Linked DNA regions of Schizosaccharomyces pombe. Changing the gene in region 3 together with the main gene of any one other region gives a genetic interaction. Each region holds a gene or a part of one and is shown on either strand. Other genes may lie near its edges.

Evidence for each region.
Region 1: mutations in SPOM_SPBC1289.14 (region 3) and pdk1 together harm fitness more than expected from each alone (negative genetic interaction), as found in Schizosaccharomyces pombe (one large-scale study listed by BioGRID).
Region 2: mutations in SPOM_SPBC1289.14 (region 3) and gcn20 together harm fitness less than expected from each alone (positive genetic interaction), as found in Schizosaccharomyces pombe (one large-scale study listed by BioGRID).

Annotation. Positions count from the first base shown.
Region 1 is NC_003423.3:3,113,292-3,120,303, forward strand, and holds pdk1 (serine/threonine protein kinase Ppk21/Pdk1), read right to left. Parts: upstream 3,219-7,012; 5' UTR 3,096-3,218; coding exon 2,892-3,095; exon of another isoform or gene 2,789-2,891; coding exon 2,552-2,788; intron 2,498-2,551; coding exon 2,388-2,497; intron 2,325-2,387; coding exon 2,154-2,324; intron 2,104-2,153; coding exon 1,170-2,103; 3' UTR 940-1,169; downstream 1-939. Other genes in the region: SPOM_SPBC1778.09 (GTPase-activating protein), read left to right, coding at 1-677; proteasome core particle subunit beta 1 Pre3, read left to right, coding at 4,378-4,433, 4,477-4,559, 4,612-4,744, 4,928-5,336; alpha-1,3-galactosyltransferase Otg3, read right to left, coding at 5,936-7,012.
Region 2 is NC_003423.3:2,053,083-2,060,094, forward strand, and holds gcn20 (AAA family ATPase Gcn20), read right to left. Parts: upstream 3,361-7,012; 5' UTR 3,343-3,360; coding exon 1,132-3,342; 3' UTR 1,059-1,131; downstream 1-1,058. Other genes in the region: atp14 (F1-ATPase subunit H), read right to left, coding at 4,016-4,039, 4,086-4,276, 4,329-4,364, 4,413-4,458, 4,506-4,520; ort1 (carboxylic acid transporter), read right to left, coding at 5,181-6,074; rps902 (40S ribosomal protein uS4), read left to right, coding at 6,710-7,012.
Region 3 is NC_003423.3:4,410,241-4,417,252, reverse strand, and holds SPOM_SPBC1289.14 (adducin), read right to left. Parts: upstream 5,013-7,012; 5' UTR 4,878-5,012; coding exon 3,903-4,877; 3' UTR 3,654-3,902; downstream 1-3,653. Other genes in the region: Tf2-11 (retrotransposable element/transposon Tf2-type), read right to left, coding at 1-2,596.

The DNA.
Region 1 (7,012 bases), 1.3 Mb from region 3:
AGCAGATTTGTGACTATGATGTTCAAATTGACCTAGATGTTCCCAGAACAGCTGCTACACATTTCTTATTCCGAAAACGCTACATTGGAGGGCAACGTTTACTATTTAGAGTTCTTCATGCTGTAGCTCTCTATATACCTCGTGTTGGATACGTTCAAGGAATGGCTTCTATTGCTGCGACCTTGCTCATTTACTATCCCGAAGAACAAGCATTTATAATGATGGTAAATTTATTGGAAAATAGAGGCATGGGGGACTTGTTTTCTTCCGGGTTTGATACACTTTTAAAGGCTTTTGACATGCTTAAGCATGAGTTAAGTTTTACACAATCAGGCAGACATCTGGCGGAAATTGGAGCAGAACCATCTGCTTTTGCTACACGTTGGTATCTCACTGTTTTTCATCAATGCGTGCCCTTCCATACTCAATTACGTATATGGGATCTCCTGTTTTTATTAGGTGGAAGCAAAGGTCAAACTGTCAGGTTATTGCAAGCCACTTCTCTTGCGGTTATACAAGGAATGTGGGACACGCTAATTGATGCAGACTTTGAAGTAGTAATGCAAGCTCTGTCAGGTGTTATTCCCATTCAAAACGATAACGCCCTGCTTGCTAGAATTCAATTATTTTGGGAAAAAATGCCTTCTGAAAATTCTTCTAAAAGTAAGAGAAACTGATATTTCTAACTCTTTTTTAATAGCTTTATTAATTGTGGCCCACATGATGTAACATATGTCAACAAGATGAGGATTGATATCACAGAGCTTAGCATAATGGGTCCTGAACATTTATCATTTTCTTTTTCTGTTTTAATTTGGAACGTTGATAAACATTATTTCCTTGATACCACAAAACTTTTATTGGTATCAAGAGTATGCGCTTTAAATCGATCCTATCTAACTCTCTCTTCTTACTAATATTATAATTTTAACATCTCACCAAAAGAAATGGAATTTTAACATAAAATTAATTCAAGTATATATATTATAAATACTATACATATATATGTATACATAATACCTCTCCATCTTGCGACTTCCTAGGTGCGTCGTAATTTCTAATTATGTATAGCTTAAATAGTTAAATATTACCAAAACACTGACGACAAATAATAAAATATAAAGAAGGTAGTAAATGGGTTGAAAAATCAAATAAAACAAGGTATGGGGTTACTCTTCCTCGTTCTCTTCTACATTCTCTTCTGAAGAACGAGATTGATGAGAAGACGCAACATCAGCAAACTTAAGGATTTTGTCTTTATACTTGGTGACATCCCCGGAACTGTCTTCTATTATCCAGGACTGGACCTTATCTTCAATCAAGAATCGCTTGGAACTATTTTCATCAAAAATCACTACAACACTGGAATCCTTCAAGTTCACCTCCATCTCGATAAAAAGTCTCTCATGTTTTCCTTTACAAACAAAAGCGCATCGACCAACATCAGTTAATAGCATAACCCTTTGCTTTCTTTTCAAAAACATTTTTGAGAGTCCAGATGGAAACTTATTACCCTCAGGTACACTTGGAATGGGTGATACGAAGACCGAGGTAGATTCAATGATCGACTCAGACGATGGAACCAACTTGTAATAAAGTCTGTCAACAGGCATCTGATGGCTTCGAAGTGAAGCATAGCCATAATGAGCAGTTGGAGCAGTGAAACGATTTACCGTAGGAAGCTCCTGACGTCGAGCAGTTTCCTGATGCTTTACAATGGATGCAGAAGCAAATGCCGCGGCAGCATTAGCAGCAGCTGCGGCTGTCACATTTGAGCGATAATAAGCAGGAGCATTAGGAATGGCTATGTTATAATTAGGCCGGAATGACTGCATAGGAGGAGGATCTTGAGTCCATAAATTGTCCCAAGTAATAGTAGCAAAAAAAGGAAATTGTTTTATTTGTTGGGTTGTAGATCGATCAGATGGCTGAATACGGAAAAGATGGCTAAACAAAGGAACGATATCAGGTGGTAAGAGCTTTGGAAGCTCATATTCCAGGCTCATTATCTTTTTGAAAATATTATTAGGATTGCTGCCATGAAAAGGAGGGGAACCAACAATCATTTGATAAACAACACACGCAAAAGCCCATAAATCGGAACTTAAATATTTGTCAGAAAAAAAATAGACTGGGATAATAGGTTTTCTTACGATTTTGAAACAACTTGTCTAGACAATAGTTCAGGAGCAACATATTCCGCAGTGCCAACAAAGGAGCTTGGAAAGGTAGTGTAATCAGGGCTATTTACATATTTAGGGGGTAGGATTTTGGCTGTGCCGAAATCGGTAATTTTTACATGCATATTTCCATCAAATAAAATGCTAAAAAATAGGTTAGAATTAGGAAAAGGAAACGAACATTTAATGACCACTACTCAAACATACTTTTCTGGCTTGAGATCTCTGTGAATTATACCGCAGGAGTGCATATACTCGATACTTGATAAAATCTCAGCAGCATAAAAGCGCACACAATTCTCATCAAGAAAACGATACTACCAAAGCTTAGTTAATAAAGGAAAAATGAATAGACTAATGAAAAAATATACCTTTTTGATGTATTGCAAAAGTTCACCATTGGGTGCAAGTTCAAGCACATAATAAAGTTTTAAATCATCCTGAAATGTATGGAAAAGACGAGAGATACCAGGAAACCCATTAAGTCTCATCATAGAATCTCTCTCTATATTCACATACTTAACCTTATTTTCCTTGACAATATATTTTTTATCAAGGACTTTGATAGCGTACTCCTTCCAACTCTTTTTATCAGTTGCTCTTCTCACCTAACGAATATTAGACAACTTATTCGTCAGTAATCGAAGGTCCATAGGTTAATCGACCTGCGGTTGAAAAACTTCTGAACTGAGAAGCAATGTATCAACTTACCTTTGAGAATGATCCATCTCCTATAATGTCACCAAAAACGTAATCCGCCGGAGATTTGATCGATCCTATATGACTTGTTCCTGGTACTACGTTGGAAGACTGAGGTTTTACCGGATTTCTTTCACCTCTAGCCTCGAAGTAATCGGGATCCGCATAATCCGGCAATGTACTTCGGCTAATGCGTTTATGCTCCAGATCCATCATTTATAAAAGAGGTTTTCATGAAAAATGAAGTTGTGTTTGAGTTACTTTACGTTTGCTGTTCGATTCCAACTGAAACACCGTGCATTTAATTGTGGAGTTGCTGGCCTTGGAGTTGTGTTCTGTGAAGGATGTAAACACTAAGTAGAGTACCCTATTTCTCCAATCCTCGTCATTATTACATAAATTTAAAACGTAGAATATGCCATGTAAACAATAAATTAAAGGTCGAATTGTCAAAGAAAAAATGCTCATTAAGCAGCTTGATAGCCTTATCATACCCATCAAAGTCTTACATCGCATTAATGATACTTCGATATGACCTGAAGATGGTAGTACAAAAAAATTGCTTTGGGTGTTTATAGCATTAGCGAAAGCGATACAATTTGGAACGGCAATGAAAATTTTTTTAATTCAATGTTTTAAGCTCACGCTAAGCTATCCATGGCGATATTCGCTCTAAAAAGCAATAAATTGCTTGAATATGTTTGAAATAGTTTATAAATAAATATATATATGTACATATTGTTGAAATAACAGACACCTAAACAAAAGAGATTTTTAGAAAGCCAGTTGTCTTTGGGATACTGCCTTACTAAAATAAGCAAAATACACTGTAGTTAATGAAATGCTTCTTGCCTTAATTCCAAAATTAATTTGGCGATTAACAGAATTTGGAACATCCCCTATCACCTCAATATTGCTTGGAATTCTGCTTCGCTAGAAATGAAACATAACATGATACCTAATTCACAGTTTAGAAGATCCGTCGTAAGAAATTCTCGTAAATATATATACATCATTCCAGGTCGAACTTCCAATATCTTCATTTTTTGTTAAAAGATCATGGTCATATTATTTTCATTCTTCAATAGCTATGGTTTTTTTCATGTTATTTGCGTAAGTAAACCAAATATAAGCAGTCGTCAAATATTAAGAAAACAAAATCTTCAGAAACCTTTTTAGTCCCAAACTTTTAGATTCTTTCATTCTTTCCTATGTTAATTTCTAGCTGAGCACTTTCAAGTTCAATCCATGGTTATAACTCTGTAGTCGGCTGTAACTTTTGATCAAAAATTTTTAATACTATACCCTTATCTATAGTCGTTAAAGAATTTCTTAAAAAATATACGAATTCTTTCAACACTTTTTACAATTGAATAACAATTTTTTATATTCATACTGCAATTTCATATGCAGGTAGCAATGTTACCTAAATTTTGGCTGCTTCTCAATACCATACACAAGTCCCTAATCATTTTAACCTTTCACCAAACTTCTGAAAATGGCCACTACTGTGAAAGATACTATGAATGTTGACATTAATGCTATTAAAAAGGGGTATGATTGCGGGAAATTGATTTTGAAAGTTCTGACTTTGTAGAGAAATTCGTATGGGTACCACCATCACGGCGCTCCGTTATAAAGATGGCGTTATACTTGCTGCAGATTCTCGAACAACTATGGGTGTGTATTGGAATATCAGAACTTTTCGTTCTTTGATTTCTAACGTTGCTAGGTGCATATATTGCAAATCGTGTCACTGATAAGCTGACTCAGCTGACAGACAATATTTGGTGCTGTCGCAGTGGTTCTGCTGCTGATACGCAAACTGTGGCTGATCTTCTAAAATACTATCTTTCCATGTATCGGTAAGTTACCCTTGAATGAACCGAATGACTGTAAATTAAGGCTGCTTTAGCTGGTTTATCCTTTAGAATAAACTATCGACTTACTCTCAAGTCCTTATGTTTACTAGATGATTACTAAAGCCTTTTTGCATGTTTTATTTTTCATTTTATTGTTGTTAAAAAAATTATCTAACGATTATGAAGTATTCAATTTGGCCATGACCCTAGTGTTCATACAGCTGCTACTTTAGCTTCTGAAATGTGTTATCAAAACAAAAATATGCTTAGTGCAGGTTTAATTGTTGCTGGATATGATGAAAAAACTGGGGGAGATGTTTACAGTATTCCGTTAGGTGGTAGTTTGCATAAGCAACCTTTAGCTATTGGAGGAAGTGGTTCTGCTTTTATTTATGGATTTTGCGATGCTAACTTTCGCGAAAATATGACCCAAGAGGAGGCTGTTGAATTTTTAAAGAACGCTGTTGCTTTAGCCATGGAACGCGATGGCAGCAGTGGTGGTACCATTCGAATGGTCATTTTAAATAAAGATGGAATGGAGCGTAAATTTTTTGCCATTGATACTGCTAACCCTATTCCCGTATTTACTCACTAAGTACTTCACGTTTCCTTTTATTTTACGTGACTATACTGATACCCAATGCTTATGCTAGACTTGACCTTATTAATGCCTGTCTCATTATTTGTAGCTTTTGGAGTGCAAGGTCATGAAGAAAAGTTACTTTTCTGGTCAGTGAGATAAGTCTTTGTGATGATTAAAATAGAAAGATTTTTTATAGTTACAGTTAACTACCGAAGTGTAGTTATATTGTTGATAGTGAAAGAATATTATTGTTATGAGTCCTATGTAATTGTCATAAGAGTAAAAATGTTGTAAGATGCCTGCAAGCACATTTAAAATTTTGATTATCAGCTTCATACAAGAAAATTGTAATCAGCCATGTAAAATATAAAATTAGTCCGAACACCGGTAGACCCTTCTAAAGAAGAATAAAATATGATGTGTCTTTTTTTGTTTAAAATTGAATGCAGAAATTATGTGAAAAGAACAAACTTTAACGGTAAGAATATACACGGTGAGATATGTATTAAGCTCTTCAACAGGTACACCGTAGTTACAGGTCAAGGAATGGAAGTGGGACAAAAAAATAATGAAGCATGAAAACATTAAAGATAAACGCCCCCCTTCATTTTTTATTCTACAACATAGTCATGAAAAGCCAGCAACTCTCCGAACGCTTTATGCCACTCGGCAGTCAAAATTTGGGGAAACTCCGTGTTGTCATATTCCCAAAATTTACCATGAGCAGCACGAAGATAGGGTAAGTCCTCTTCGGTGACCCAAACTCCATTATATGAAAAATCGAGCCTCGTCCAGGGAAACCAACCATATTTATTATAAGCAAGATTTAATAAACTTTGTTCCATCATTCTAGCATCGTCATACATATAAGGATAACGTGCTATCTTCTTAATCCTATGCATATGAAGACTACTGGGATGAACAAGCATCAGCCCGGCATTAAAAGTTTCAGATTCTTCTGGGGGCGTCGCATGTCCAGGGTTACGATCGTCACATGCGCCAAGAAGATATGGATAGAATTCTGAGCGAGGAGCACCATAGGCATCGAAATTGTCGCTAAACTGATAATCCTCTTCATCATCTGGCTTCTTAAAGATAGGAAAGCTAAACATATCGGGTTCTGCAGGAGATTCATAAACATAGGGAGTATCAAAAATGTCATCCATGTTTTTCAATACTAGGAGATCGCTATCCAGAATGCAGACCTTATCAAACTGTGTTTGCTCAAATACACTGAGTTTTGTGAACATGTATTGATAACGATAACTGCCCATGCCAATAGACAAACCACTTTCAATTAAGTCTTCAGTTTTAATTTGATCGACCATAATTATTTCGGCCCCATCAAGTCGCAATCGTTCAATTTTCCATTCATCAACCCCTTTCATAACAAGGACATGAACGGGATATTTACTTTTCGTTTCAGGATGATGTTTCAGCTTGTATACTAGTACTCGAGTAGCATTGAAGTATACATCATGTTCTGAAGTAGGAAGGGTAAGTAAGCCCATAAATGTATACCTTTTTAAATCATCTACATTATCGTTATAATATGGGCCATGCTTATGAAGCCCAAATTCATAGGCTGCCGATGAAATTAGCGATCCAGGAAATGCGGGATCCCGATATATTTGGATCCCTAAAAGTAAACCCAAATTCAGCAAAAGAATTAGTGAAATCAAGACAAA
Region 2 (7,012 bases), 2.4 Mb from region 3:
CGACATCGATGATATTGGCGATTGCCCATTCGAACTCGTAAAACCTATCCTGGAAAAAGCTAGACCAGAACATTTAATAGACTTGGAAGAAAAGTCGCCTCATTTGAAAGTTGACACTCAACCATTGTGGAAAGATCACGTTTTGCGTGATTTTGGATTAGAACTTCAAAAACGAACTATATTGAACAATATTGATGATTGGAGAGGGCTCTACGGAAAACTTAAGAAAAAAAGAAATGCTCATTATAACGTTGCTTCTGCTAAGCTTCGAAGTGCTTACACCAAGCTAGAGCAAAGTAAACAAAACAAGCGAATTGTTCCTTTAGAGCGTGAGCCTAGAGCTGCTCGGCCTCCTAAGCGTCCGCGTCCCATGAGTAATTATTGTCCAAAAAGTTCTCTAATGGCGAGAGCTAAAAGTGATTTTCTCAAAAAGGCTCTGCTACCCGTCATATTGTTTCAGCTACTTCATCCTCTCGGAGCTTTCCCCAATTGCATCCCCTTGGACGTTCTTCTTCTAACGCTACTAATACTTCTACAAAGCGTCCTTTAACCTCTAATACCTATCCGTCCATTCCTCTTCCTCCAAAGTCTTTCACCTCTCAGAATTTTAAATCGTTCAACGCCGTCAAAACTCAACCTTCATCTTCCTCCTCTCCATCAATCTCTCGCCCTACGTCTTTTCCCATGTCCTTTTTTCCAAATCCTTCGAGGTTTTCTAGTCAAGTTCCTAAACGAATTTAATGAGTTAACTTTTTCCTTTCTCTTTCTTTTTTTGTTTACTAGTCTGTATATTCTTTTTTTTTCTGCTATTGATTTCCTTGGTCCGCCTTATTTTCTCCTCTTCTCCCCTTCCTCCTCTTTACTTTTTAATTGATTGGGTTTGTTCTCTTTATTTTTTGGGTGTTGGTTGATGATTTGCATGCTTTCCAGGTTTCTTGTCCATTACCGTGTTATGACTTACTTAGCTATAATTAATTTACTGTTTTAATCTTATTTAACACTTCATGTCTTTTACTGTATAAAATGTAGTTAACTTCGTTTACATATTTTATCCAGATTCATAGATAAAAGAATTTGATTTTATTTATCCTCGCCAGCTATATTATTATTATTTAAGTCTATGCTATTCCATTAAGTTTTTATAGTCATGGTTGGCTGTTGAGATAGACAGAATTTCTTATATTGTGAAATTGTTCCATCAAACTTGGAGACGACATTATGGTCACACTGCCAAATACTGGTACATGTCTTGTCCAAGAAATCAACATCGTGAGAAACAAGAATCACACCACCTTGGAAGCGTTTAACAGCTCTTGTCAAGGCATCCATGGACTCCATATCCAGATGGTTGGTGGGTTCATCTAGAATAAGAATGTGAGGGTTTTGTAGACCTAGGCATGCGAACGCAACACGAGATTTCTGACCACCAGAAAGCGTGATCATTTTTTGCAATGCAAGAGGTCCACTAACACCAAAAGCGCCAAGATGACGACGGTATTCTTCTTCACCTTTGCCAGGAAATGTCTTAGCTAAAAAGCTTAAGGCATTCAAGTTTAAGTCCAAAGTATCGACATGATGTTGTGCAAAGTATGCAATACGAAGTCGGGGGTGCCGACTAACTATACCAGATGTTGGATGAAGTTGTTCGATAAGAAGCTTAAGCATTGTTGATTTACCAGCACCGTTGGGACCAACCACACCGATACGAGAATCCATTTGAACATCAATATCAACATGTTTGAGAATAGGGTGACCTGGAACATACTCAAAATTGACATCAGACATTTGTAAGATAGGAGGAGATATTTTTTCCACAGGTGGAAATTCAAACTCAACTTCTTCCTCAGTTTGAGGCTTTTCAAGGATCGGCAGTTTTTCCAACTTCTTAATACGACTTTGTGCTTCGGATGATTTGGCAGCATTATAACGAAATTTGTCAATGAATGATTGCAAATGTTTGCGGTATTCCATTTGCTTTTCATATTCACGAAGTTGATTTTTGCAACGTTCTTCACGAGTAGCATAGAATTGACTAAAATTACCCTTATAGTAATCCAAGCGCTCAGAGTGTTGATGAATAATATCAGTAGCAACTTCATTCAAGAAAGAACGATCGTGTGAAACGACTAAAACGATATTTTTATAAGTTTGTAAATATTCAGATAAGAAAGCAATTGAGGGAACGTCAAGCATGTTCGAAGGTTCATCCAAAAGTAGTAAATCTGGTTGACAAAACAGAGCACGTGCCAATGACAAACGCATACGCCAACCACCTGAAAAAGTCTTGGTAGCATGGCTTTGCATTTCTTGAGTAAATCCAAGACCAGCTAAAATAGTAGCAGCGCGTGATTCTGCTCTATCAGAGTCCATCTCGGAAAGCTTATTTTGAATATCTAACAACCGTAAATCAAGTTCGTCTCGTTCACGCTCAAGGCGACGGGAAATAGCTTGATCAGCAGTTTGGTCTTTACTAAGTTCTTCCAATTCTTTTTCAATCGTTGATAGACGATTAGTTATCTTTTCCTGGTCCTGAATCAAATACTTGCGCCAAACATCGGCATCCAAAACTGACTGTAGGGCAGGTGTATCATCACCTGTCATTTCTTGCTCAACATGAAGAATGGTAATATGGGTAGGAATCGCAATTTCACGGCGAGAAAGAGCACGTAGAAGAGTAGATTTACCGATACCGTTGCGACCAGTTAAACCGTATCGTCTACCCTGTGCAAGTGTCAACGAAGCACCAGTCAATATACGATGACCAGCAAAAGCAAGATCAATTCCATCAATTTTAATATCTTTCGATTTTCCTTGGTTACTTCCGGATAAATCTAGAGGATTTACAGCCATGTAAAACTCTTCATAAGACTTTTGTTCGGGTTGAACCAACTTTGAAGATTCGTATTCTGCTTTGATAGTACGTTTCTCCCATTTGGCACGAATCTTCCGTTCAGCCTTCTCTAATTTTCTTCTATCTACCCTAGATTCAACCTTACGGCCCTTTACAGCATCTAATTCCATCTTTTCGCCAACCAAACCCATAGTTGACGAAATTTCGGATTGGGAATCCATTCGAATAGTCTCCTTCAAACGAACAAGTCCATTCGTTTGTAATGTATCTAGATGTTCCTCTCTTTCTTTAAATTGTTTCTCTAGTTCGTTTTGTATGAGCTGTACCGCTTCCTCACGAGCGCCAGCATCTAGCAATAAATTACGAATGAGAGAGATCGTATGGTCTGAAGCCTCATCTACATCTTTAATAGCATCATTAGCATATCCAGTGCAGTAGCTGAGGACATGAGGGTCTACTTCAGAGCAATTATTCTGAATGACTTGCTCCATGTTGGATGTGAGGTGGATAGTACTAAGCAAGTTATACTACTGCTATATATGAAGCCTCAATCGGCAAAACGATGAGACTAGGCATGAAAATATACTAAATACCTTATAATAGTGAATTATATATTTTTTTAAGAAAAAAAATTACAATTCCAAGAAAACTACTGTGAACTTTACTGATATTTTTAATGACCCACAGTAGACATCAAATTTTATCAAGCTAATCCTTATTGTTGAATAAAAGCAATTGTATTGAGTTGATATAAATTGAAAAAAAAAATCCAAATGTGAACTCAATAGAAATACTTTGCAAAGAGAAAAACATCTCAACTCAATGAAAGTGGTTTTCTATCAATCAAGGCAACAACTGTTTCGTGCCGTAATCGAAGAGACGACTAAGCATTGAATTCAGCTATGTTCAAAGACATTTAGAAAGCAGAAAAAGGATACGTTAACCTAGAATATAAATCATAGTGAGACGGGAGTTATAGAGATACATCCACGTTCGTGGTCAATCAAAAGAAGGATCAGACAAAGGCATGAAATAGATATAAAATCAAATCTCAACGACGTAGATGAAAATGTAAATTCATAATCGGAAAATAAAAGGCAAAATTTAATCAAAGTTAATTACCAAACATCTTCCAATTGAGCATAGGAAAAGCAGTGAATAAATTTAATGTTCTTTTTCATTCTCATACTGAAGGAAAAGTTAGCTGATGCAATGTAAAGGAAGAGATACATACTGATTCAAGAAAGTCAAATTTGTTGCTTTCTCCAGCAGCCTTAGTGGGAATGGTTTCTCCCTCATACTTGTAAGAGTTTAAAGCAGAAGTAAAGTCAACATCGTATTTTGGAGCAGTAGGAGCGCTAGGCATGGACCATTCCTTTACTTCAGCTGCCGTTTCGGAAGGGACAGCTTTAGGCTTATATGATTCTAAGACACGACGTGTAAGAAATTGGTAAATTAAGAGAATATAATAACATACTTAAAGAAGAAATATATAAACCCTGTACTACATCGACTAAATTGCCATTAGTAATCTCATCAAAATCAAAATGTCATTTCATACCGTAAAGACGAGGGGAGGTGGTCGAATAACTACGACTTAGTGATTTCTATATATTAGCTCCTAAATTCTTAAAAAAAGCAATGTATAACGTACCAAAATTCGAGACATTGTTCTTCCTTCACAATATATGTGGATGGTAGTGGTAACTCACTTAGGTAGCATGTATTGAGTAAGAAAGCCAGCATTGTCCGAAAGTACATTAAACATACTAAATCTAATAGCTAAAGTTTTAAATGCCCAAATAAACAATCGCTGAAATAGAAGGACTATTAGTCTCAAAAATTTCATCCAATTTACACCTCTACCAAAAATCTACAAAACAAAATTCAACTATACAAGAAAAAAAAGCGTAGGTACATACAGATATTGAAAGAGTTGGATTAACCAAAACAGGACGTAAAAAGCAAAACAAAACAAAAAAAAACAGGGAAAAGAGGAAAAGAAAATATACTTTCAGATTGAAACGGTTAACTCGTGAAATGTATAACAAGTTCAGTGGAATTACTGTCAAACTAACAGCAGCACATGATATGAAAAGTGATGAGAGGGGAGTTTTTGAAGGTAAAAATGCTTTTAATAAAAAATAAATAGCATCAAAAAAATTGTAAAAGTATTCCATGGGACTTTAAATATATACGACAAAACCAGTTCTAAAATGTGATTAAACTTCAACCGCAAGTCGAATGCAAGTTAAAATATGTATAGAAATGCATTCCGACGGGTTATCGACTCAATGGACAACAAAGACTTCGTAAAACTAGAATAAAACTATTTGCTTAATACTTTAGTTTCCCGAAATAATTCAAAAAGCGTAAAATTGCAAGAATTTATAAGAGCGCTTCGCATCAATGAAATACCTATACCTCGATATATAGTAAACGATAACCAAGGAATGGAAGACAAAGGGGTTTTAATTGATAAGAGTGTATTTCTTTGTACAATGGATTTGGCTGTATCCACCGGGAATACCAAAATCCAAGACAAAGCGCCGCAAAAAGCACCAGAGAAGGCATAAGCAAAATGCGGCTTCACATCATTCGCTATCAGATTTTTCTTAAAGGTTTCGTATATTGTAAAATAACAAGCCGATCCTAGAGCGTCTCTGGTTAGATGATAACGATACCCATTCCATAATGCAGTAAATCCATACCTCCGAACAATGTCAGAAGCGCTCTGGAAAGATGACAAGGGAGGTCTGACACTTAGCTTGGAATTTGTCTCTTGCCGACGGCCCATATTTGTTTTGCGAAGAAGCATGTCAATTTGTGAATATAACTTTGAATACTCGAATGGACAAGCAAAAAGTGATATAAAAGTACCAGTCCCAAGCCCGGAAATGAAATACCGAAGTGTAGGATCCACATGAGCAAATGTAAGTTTTAAGGAATCATACACCGTAAATGATACTGACCTCGATAGAGTGGCTGATATCAATGGTAGAGTAAGACCACGATACAAACCTTTTAATCCCTCGTTTTTAACAGCGTTTTGGAAACAAGAGCGAATGGTTGGGAAATTGTAAGTTTGCTGTCGAACTTTAATCGAGTCAAGAGGATACCCAATAACATTGCTAATGGCAGAAGAAACCAGAGCAGCGGAAAAGGTAGATGCGGGAGAGCCCGAGTGTGCTTTATGGGGCTGGTTATGAACTGGTAAACCCATTTTTTGATCAATCCTTCAGAAATAAAATAGAGAGAAATGAGAGAAGAAAATAAAGATCAATATTCTAGCAAAAATAGATTTTTCGACTTATCTAAACAAATGAAGTAATCGAAATCCTCTTTCTTTATGTAAGTACGTATATGTACGTCTAAATTGTATGTATAGTCTAAAGTATTCAGAAGTTCACCACCCATGTAAGATGAACTACTAAAAAAAAACTTGTTTTTTATATTTTGAAACTCGAAAAAAAGTAAAATCGTCAATAATTATGATCAATTTCAGAGAAAAACCAAAAAAGAGACAGTAACAGCACAACACTCACAGGATTGTGCAATTAATATCTTCAAATAGAGTTTAATACGCACTCACAAGATACAGTGTATCCCTTACATATGTGATCTTCTATTTTAGAAAAAATAAACAACACCTTCTATTTACAAATCTAACTTCTGCTTTTCCTTCACAAGGATATAAGCTAGAGGGTTAGTAGGAATAGTGTGTAGTAAGGATATCGGTACGGGATGGTGATGGGACAAAACCCTAACCTAATACTACAGTATCTCAAAAAGCCGTCACTGTTGTGCCTTCTTGAAAATACATAGCAAAGGTAGGTTGCGCAAAGCACCAAACAAACAATGCCTTCTGCTCCTCGTAAGCAATCCAAGACTTACAAGGTTCCTCGTCGTCCCTTCGAGTCGGCCCGTCTAGATGCCGAGCTCAAGCTTGCTGGTGAATATGGTTTGAGAAATAAGCATGAAATTTGGCGTGTAGCACTTACCCTTTCTAAAATCCGTCGTGCTGCTCGTGAGCTTTTGACCCTTGACGAGAAGGATCCTAAGCGTCTTTTCGAGGGAAATGCCATCATTCGTCGTCTTGTTCGTTTGGGCATTTTGGATGAGTCCCGTATGAAGCTTGATTATGTGTTGGCTCTCCGTATC
Region 3 (7,012 bases):
TAACCACTTGGTTTTTAAAATCATCGGTTATCGAGATTTGATTAACAAAGTTGATACTATTGTCTTCTGAATCTTTTGGAATTGGTTCTGTTTCGTCAACAATTCTGGATAAGGCATCAGCTATGTGATTTGCTGATCCAGGTCTGTAGTTAATTTCAAAGTTGAAGTCTTGTAAAAATAATTGCCAACGAGCTAAACGTTTGTTTTCAGGCTCGGATTCGTTAGTAATGCGACCAATTAAGTTTCGATGGTCTGTTAAAATTTTGAAAGGTTCGATAGTGGATTCTAAATAGTGTCTCCAATGTTTGAGAGACTTAATGATTGCAAGCATTTCTTTGTCCGATACGCTATAATTTAATTGTGCTTTAGACATCTTTGCTGAATAGTATCCAACAGGATAGTATTTATCATCATCATGTTTTTGAGACAATACGGCTCCTACAGCGACATCTGAAGCATCAGTTTCTAGTAGAATCTTTTTACTGAAATCAAAGTGTCGTAGCACCGGAGGAGAAACTAAACATTGTTTAATGTTTTCTATCGCTTGGGTTTGTGTTGGTGTCCATTTCCAGCGTACATCCTTTTTCAAAAGATTATTGAGTGGATGTGTTAATTGTGATGTCTTTGGAATGAATTTCCTAAGATAATTGACAGAACCTAGAAATTGTCGTAATTCTTTACGATTCTTAGGTTGCTTCCATTGTAAGACTTTGTCTATATTTTCTTGACAAGGCGTAAATCCTTTTTCCGAAATGTGATACCCTATAAATTTTACTTGTGATTGATGAAATTCACATTTTGCTTGATTGATAATTAAGTTCGCATTTTTTAATTTCTGTAGAACGTCTTTAACATGTTTTACATGTTCAGATTCCGATTTTGAATGAATTAAAATATTATCCATATAACATACTACATGCGATTCTTTGACTTCACCAAGTATTGTATTGATAAAGTATTGAAAATGTGCTGGAGCTATAGATATGCCATAAGGCATTACTAGATATTCAAAAACTCCACGAGGACAGCGAAAAGCAAGTTTATGTTCATCTCCTTTTCTTACTCGTATCAAGTGATAGGCACTTTTGAGGTCAAGTTTAGTAAAAATTGTAGAACCTTGTATTTTAGCAAGTAATTGTTCAATAAGTGGTAACGGATATATATTGGGTTTGACATACTTATTTAAAGGTTTGTAGTCAACCACCATTCTCAAGGTGCCTTCCTTTTTCGGAACGAACATTACTGGACAGGCGTTAATGGCTTTAGATTCTCGTATAATTCCACTTTTTAATCCTTGATTAATTTCATCATTCATAGCTTGCATTTTTCCCGGTGGTAGCGGGTAATTTCTGATAGGTAATCTGTAGTTTTCTTGAGTTAGTTCAACTTCAAATTCTAACCCTTTTATTGGCTTTGGTAGCTTTTCCGTATTGGTTTCTGCAGTAATGTCTTTGAATTCTTTATAGATATCTGGTAACTCAGGTTCCTTGACAATATTTGAAACTTTGTTCATTTGAGAGAGCGTGTGTTTACTGCTAGATATTTCAATGTTATTGTCATATAATGTTGTGAAGGAGATAGCAGCTGGATGCGAAAATTTCTTTACAACCAAGAATTCTGTTTTGATTGATATTCCATTTAGACTTATGTTAAGTTTTATTGTTTTGCGATTAATCTTATTTGGATAAACTCCACCATATATCACACTTTTTGACCAGGGTCTGGTAGGCAGTTTATGTGCTCGAACAGTTTCTTCTGTTATAATATTTGCTTGAGTGCCCGTATCGATTAGACAGGGTATTGAGCACTTGAAGTCTGGAAGTTCAGCTTGTAATACCATTTCGTAACGTTTCCTAGTATGATTTAGGAATTTGTTAGATGAGTATTCTATTCTCGAAATATTTGTCTTCCTCAGGTTTCTGCTATTAGTGGTGTTATTTTTCTTTGGAAGGAACTCTTTTCCTAGATTTTTATTTTGCGGTTGAAAACGCTTGTGAGTTTTACCATACGAGGCTGTTCTTTTGTCCTCTAAAAAGTCATAAATTTCACTGATTTCCGATTTCCAGTAATTTCTTTCCTTTAATTTCCTTAAGGAATATGGCAGCATCCATAATATAAACAAGCGAGTATGGAAATCATCAACATTTGCCTTTGACATGAGTTTCCTTATAAATTGAACTTTGTCCAATTGATTTCTAAAACCTTCAAATGTTTTAGTTAAACGATCACCTTTGTTGGATCCTTGTACTTTCCCTGGTTGTCTGAGTAATTCTTGCCATGTAAGACTTCCATTCTCAGAAAACATGCGTTCAGCGAATTGTTGCTCTAATTCTTCTAGGTGATTCAATGTATACTGTCTTTTAGTATGCTCATTTGGGAATAATGAAGGGTATTCAGTAAAGTGTTGATCAAGTTTTGAAATGTAACTTTCAACATCCTTATTAGGATCGAATTTCCCTATCTCTGGTACATGCTTCGATAATATTTTTGCAAAAAGGTTTATTAAATGTTCGTCTGATGTTTGAATTCCATCCAAATTCTCTGGTCTCCATCGTTTTGCTCTTGCTTTCATATAACGATAATTTGCGTAGGACATTGTATATGTTTCCCTTTTGGGAGATTTCAAAAGGGATAACAGTCTTTCCAAAGTTCTTTCTCCTTTGAACCCAGAAGGAGAGAAATATATATATTTATGATATATATTTATTCAATAATTCCTTTTTCTTAAAAAGAGTTAATTGTAGATCACAAGAGTTCAGTTATTGTAAGCTACGCAGTTTGGTATCTGATTTAAGGATACGTAGAACTGTGGTGAGTTTTCCTTGTGATCTATTATATTACAATACACAGGTTGTATGAGAAGCAACTGAGTATAGGTATTGTATTAACTGGGTTATAATGTTACCTATCAATAATATAGCTCATAACTGAACTGAGGAACGAGGTTCAGTTGTAACGCTATTTATAATATTTCTAAATACTTGTTATCAACGGATATCTACGATATGATGTTGAACATGTGACATATAGTGATACGCAACGTAGTGCAGTATTGCTGACAGCTACGCAGTTTAAAATCACCTTTTAAATATACGCTTCTGTGATAATTTTATTAATATTGTACTGCGGTATGTAGGTGGAATGAACAGCAGGCATTGAAGATATTCTTCGTGTGAAGGGTTTAGGTAGAACTAACCACAAATGAATTGAAGGGTTAGAATTGGTCTAATCATAGTGCTATCGATATAATTGCTATATGATTAGTAACATATGTCGGTACAAATGTCGCACTGTATGTACTCTAAATAAACTGAACAAGTAGCGTATAGTGACATTAAGAAACCATGGTATTGCTGTCGTTAGGAGTTGCAACGAATACTTGCCTTGTTAAAGTTTTTATTAACTTCTAATTGTTTTTGAGTGTCGAAAACGAAGTAAATTTGAGTAAAACATCAGGATTAATTCTGACTAGTAACTTAGAAGTTTATTGGTAAAAAACATTTGTGAATAATGTATAATAAAATTTTTACTAACTTTTGTCAAGGATATTTCATGCAGAATGCATGTTTTACGATAAAGTCATTTACATTGGCTGCAAAATGATTGCAGTTGCATATTTAATACGGTAAGAAGCAAGTGATACAATATGAGTCCTAAGGTGTAATTTCGTTAGCTTTTGCATTGTCGGATTATATAAATTAAAAAAAATTCCTTTTTCATGTATTCATATTTCTGTGAATAAAAATAATAAAAGAATGCGATTTAGAATATTAATAAATTTAATGACTGATTAAGTCAAGTAGAACAAGCTCTCAACTTCAGTTTTCAGTGGATTTACGCTCGTCAAATAAATCTTATTGTGATAAATTCTGATAAAAGACGAAATTAAATAATACATCATCTTAAGTTCTGTATGAACTATCAAGATCATCAAGTAACCTCATATAGGCAGAAAGTTCCTTAATTCCATATTTAGCACCCGAGAAATGCTTCTCTCTGGTAACATCAAAAGTTTTTTCAACAAGTTTGTTATTAGGAATGAAAAGATTGTTCATGTCTCCCAAAGCATTTGCTGATGCATGCGTTTGGATTTCCGTGGCGGCCAAAAATTGATACATTAAATAGTAAGCTGCACCTACAGACTCGGCAGCAGTAATAATTCCATGATTACGAAGTATCAAAATATCCTTGTTTGCTATGTCTTCAGCCAAACTCTTTTGTTCGCCTTTGTCAACTACAATTCCATGATAATCGTGATATGTGACAGGACCAGATTGGTGTGAAGTTTGAGCAAGCTCAAGGAAACCATGTTTAACACATGAAACGCCAGCAGCATATGGATAGTGATTGTGCATAATGCTCTTCACATCTGGACGAGCCCTGTGTATCGCACTATGTATAACATAGCCAGCACGATTGATGCCAAAAACATCACCCGTAACACCAGGATGTTTGATGTTTCCATCCTCATCAACCTTAATAAGACTACTAGCGGTAATTTCACCATATCGTAAACCATAAGGATTAATCAGAAATGAAGCGGTTCCATCAGGTTCCTCAACCTTGGCAGTCAAATGATTTAGAATATTCTCATTCCAATGTTCTAAACCAAAAAGACGATATGCCGCAGCTAACTCAATACGCGTAGCAACCTCTTCATCAGTGAATTCATGCAGACATGACTTTCGGAGCATTTCACGAACGGCAATCGAGCTAAATTCCGGTTTAGGAGCGTAGGTTTTAGGATCAACTTTTGAATTTGTGGCTAGTCCTCTCGTAAGGTTTACTCCAGTAATTGCATAAGTAGAACGCAAACTATTATTTATGCATTTTGCTGCATTTTTCAAAGACAAAGGGGTAAATTTTTTGCTAAGCATAATTGGAATTTGATATAAGGTAAGCAATCTAAAATGCAGTTCTAGCCAGTCGTTATGTTAATGAAAGACCTTTAAAGTAGTAGAATAAAAATTCAAATGAAGGAAAAAGTGAATTAGAATTTATTCGCTAACGATGTTGTTTTAATGAAAGCAAGCTTATATTTATATTATTTTTCAACGTCATAGTAAGTGCCTAGAATCCTTTACATTTACTGAAATTCAAATTGCTTTGCCGAAATATTAAACTAATCGTAATAAAACACCATTCGAATGTAAAATTTTTGATGTACGTTATCTACGTTGCCGCGTAAGAGAGTAGTCAAGAGCATGCTAGTGTGTGATTTATTATGTTAATCTAGAATGAAATGCTACAATATTACTAAATCTCGAATGCGATATATAGAATCTCAAATTCAACCATATGCCCCTCATTCATAAATTCATTCTCTATATTTAAAAAAAATTAGGTAAATTATATTAAAACGTTAAATTGAATGACTAGCTTGAAAGTTGAACTCGCTCATCCAAAACTATTATGACTTTTAAAGCAATATTATCATATTTTTCGACCATATAGGTATTATGTGATTGGTTGATTGAAAGGCTGGTTGCTGATTGGTTTCGTTACACGAATATTATAATTTGACGTCACATTACGAGAGATATGAGAAGGAAAGAGAATAACATGTTCCACTAGGGAAACAGAATAGCTATGAGTACCAGTGTATAACGATATTTTGAATTTGTTGAATTCATCATCACCGTTTATTTTGGTATCAGTGATGGATGATAATTCATGGCATTTACTAATATGGGACGACATATCGTACATTTTTACACAAGTAACGGACATGAGCGCAAGACTGAACACAAGAATTAATGCTAACACCTCATAAGAAAAGTTAACAAGGTTGAGGATTGCTCTATTTCTCTTACTTTTTTTTAATCAAGTACTAACTCTATAGTGTACGTGTCAGTGGCTATTAACTCCCAATTCATTTAGATGTCATCCGGAATTAAAAAACGGATAACAAATTTCGGATAATGACTAAATATTGTTCCAATGTGGCACCTCAACTTTTGTACCATCGCTCTCATCCCTTTGCTATATTTCCGATATCCGGTTGTTTTACAAAAATTAAACAAGGGATTACTCGTCAACAACATACTCAACATCAGGTTATGATGAAGTTGTCGTTTGCTTAGCGAATTTTTGCTTGAGGTATACAATTTACTCAGTCCCTTCATTGGCTTTATCAACATGCCATAAATTAGTTTAAAAAATAATTTATCGTCATTACAATATCGGTATATTAGAATATAATTATATACTTTTACTATGAAATAATATTCTGTCTTATTCTCTTAAACAAAATTGCTTTGAAAATAAAAAAAATGATTGGCTGTTTAAAAATACTTCAACCGTAATATTGTATTATTGTAAACGAATATGTAGTGGTATAGCAATCGAATCTGGGGCCTTTCTATTGGTTAAGTAATTGAATAATTTTAACGGCCGATCCGTGAATCTTTATACCATAACAATTTTTTAGCTAAAGACACGGAATCGAAACATCGCTAGGTGATGAGTTAGTAAAGAATAAATATGGCTGCAATATTAAGCATGGAGAAGGACAACAACTCCATATTTCTTTGATTTGCTAGTTAAAATCTAAATTGCTATTGGTAAAGTACACAAAAATACAGTTATTGCTGGGCAAATTTTAACGTTATCATGAAATAAAAAATCAGTTCTAGAAAATAGTTACGACTTTCTTCGAAGCTGCAAACTTAAATTCCAAGAATACTTTGAATAGTCTCTGTAAGGTCTGAAGCGAATTCCAAAATGCTATCATTTGCTTTTCTGAGTACAATTATCGCATATATATTAAAAATTTAAGGTGTAGTGCATCCAAAAAAAAAAGAACGATTCCAACAGATATATTAAAGAATCTTAATTTATTGATACTTACATTCCGATTGTGCAAACTAAAGGTTAGACTAATATTCTTCTCAAAAAATTATACAACAATAAAAAGTGAAACCGATAAATTGAAAGCGACGCTTTGCATTTTAATTTAAAAATCCAAGCACTTCAGAAAAATGTTTGCCAATGCAGCAGAAGAAAAAGCATC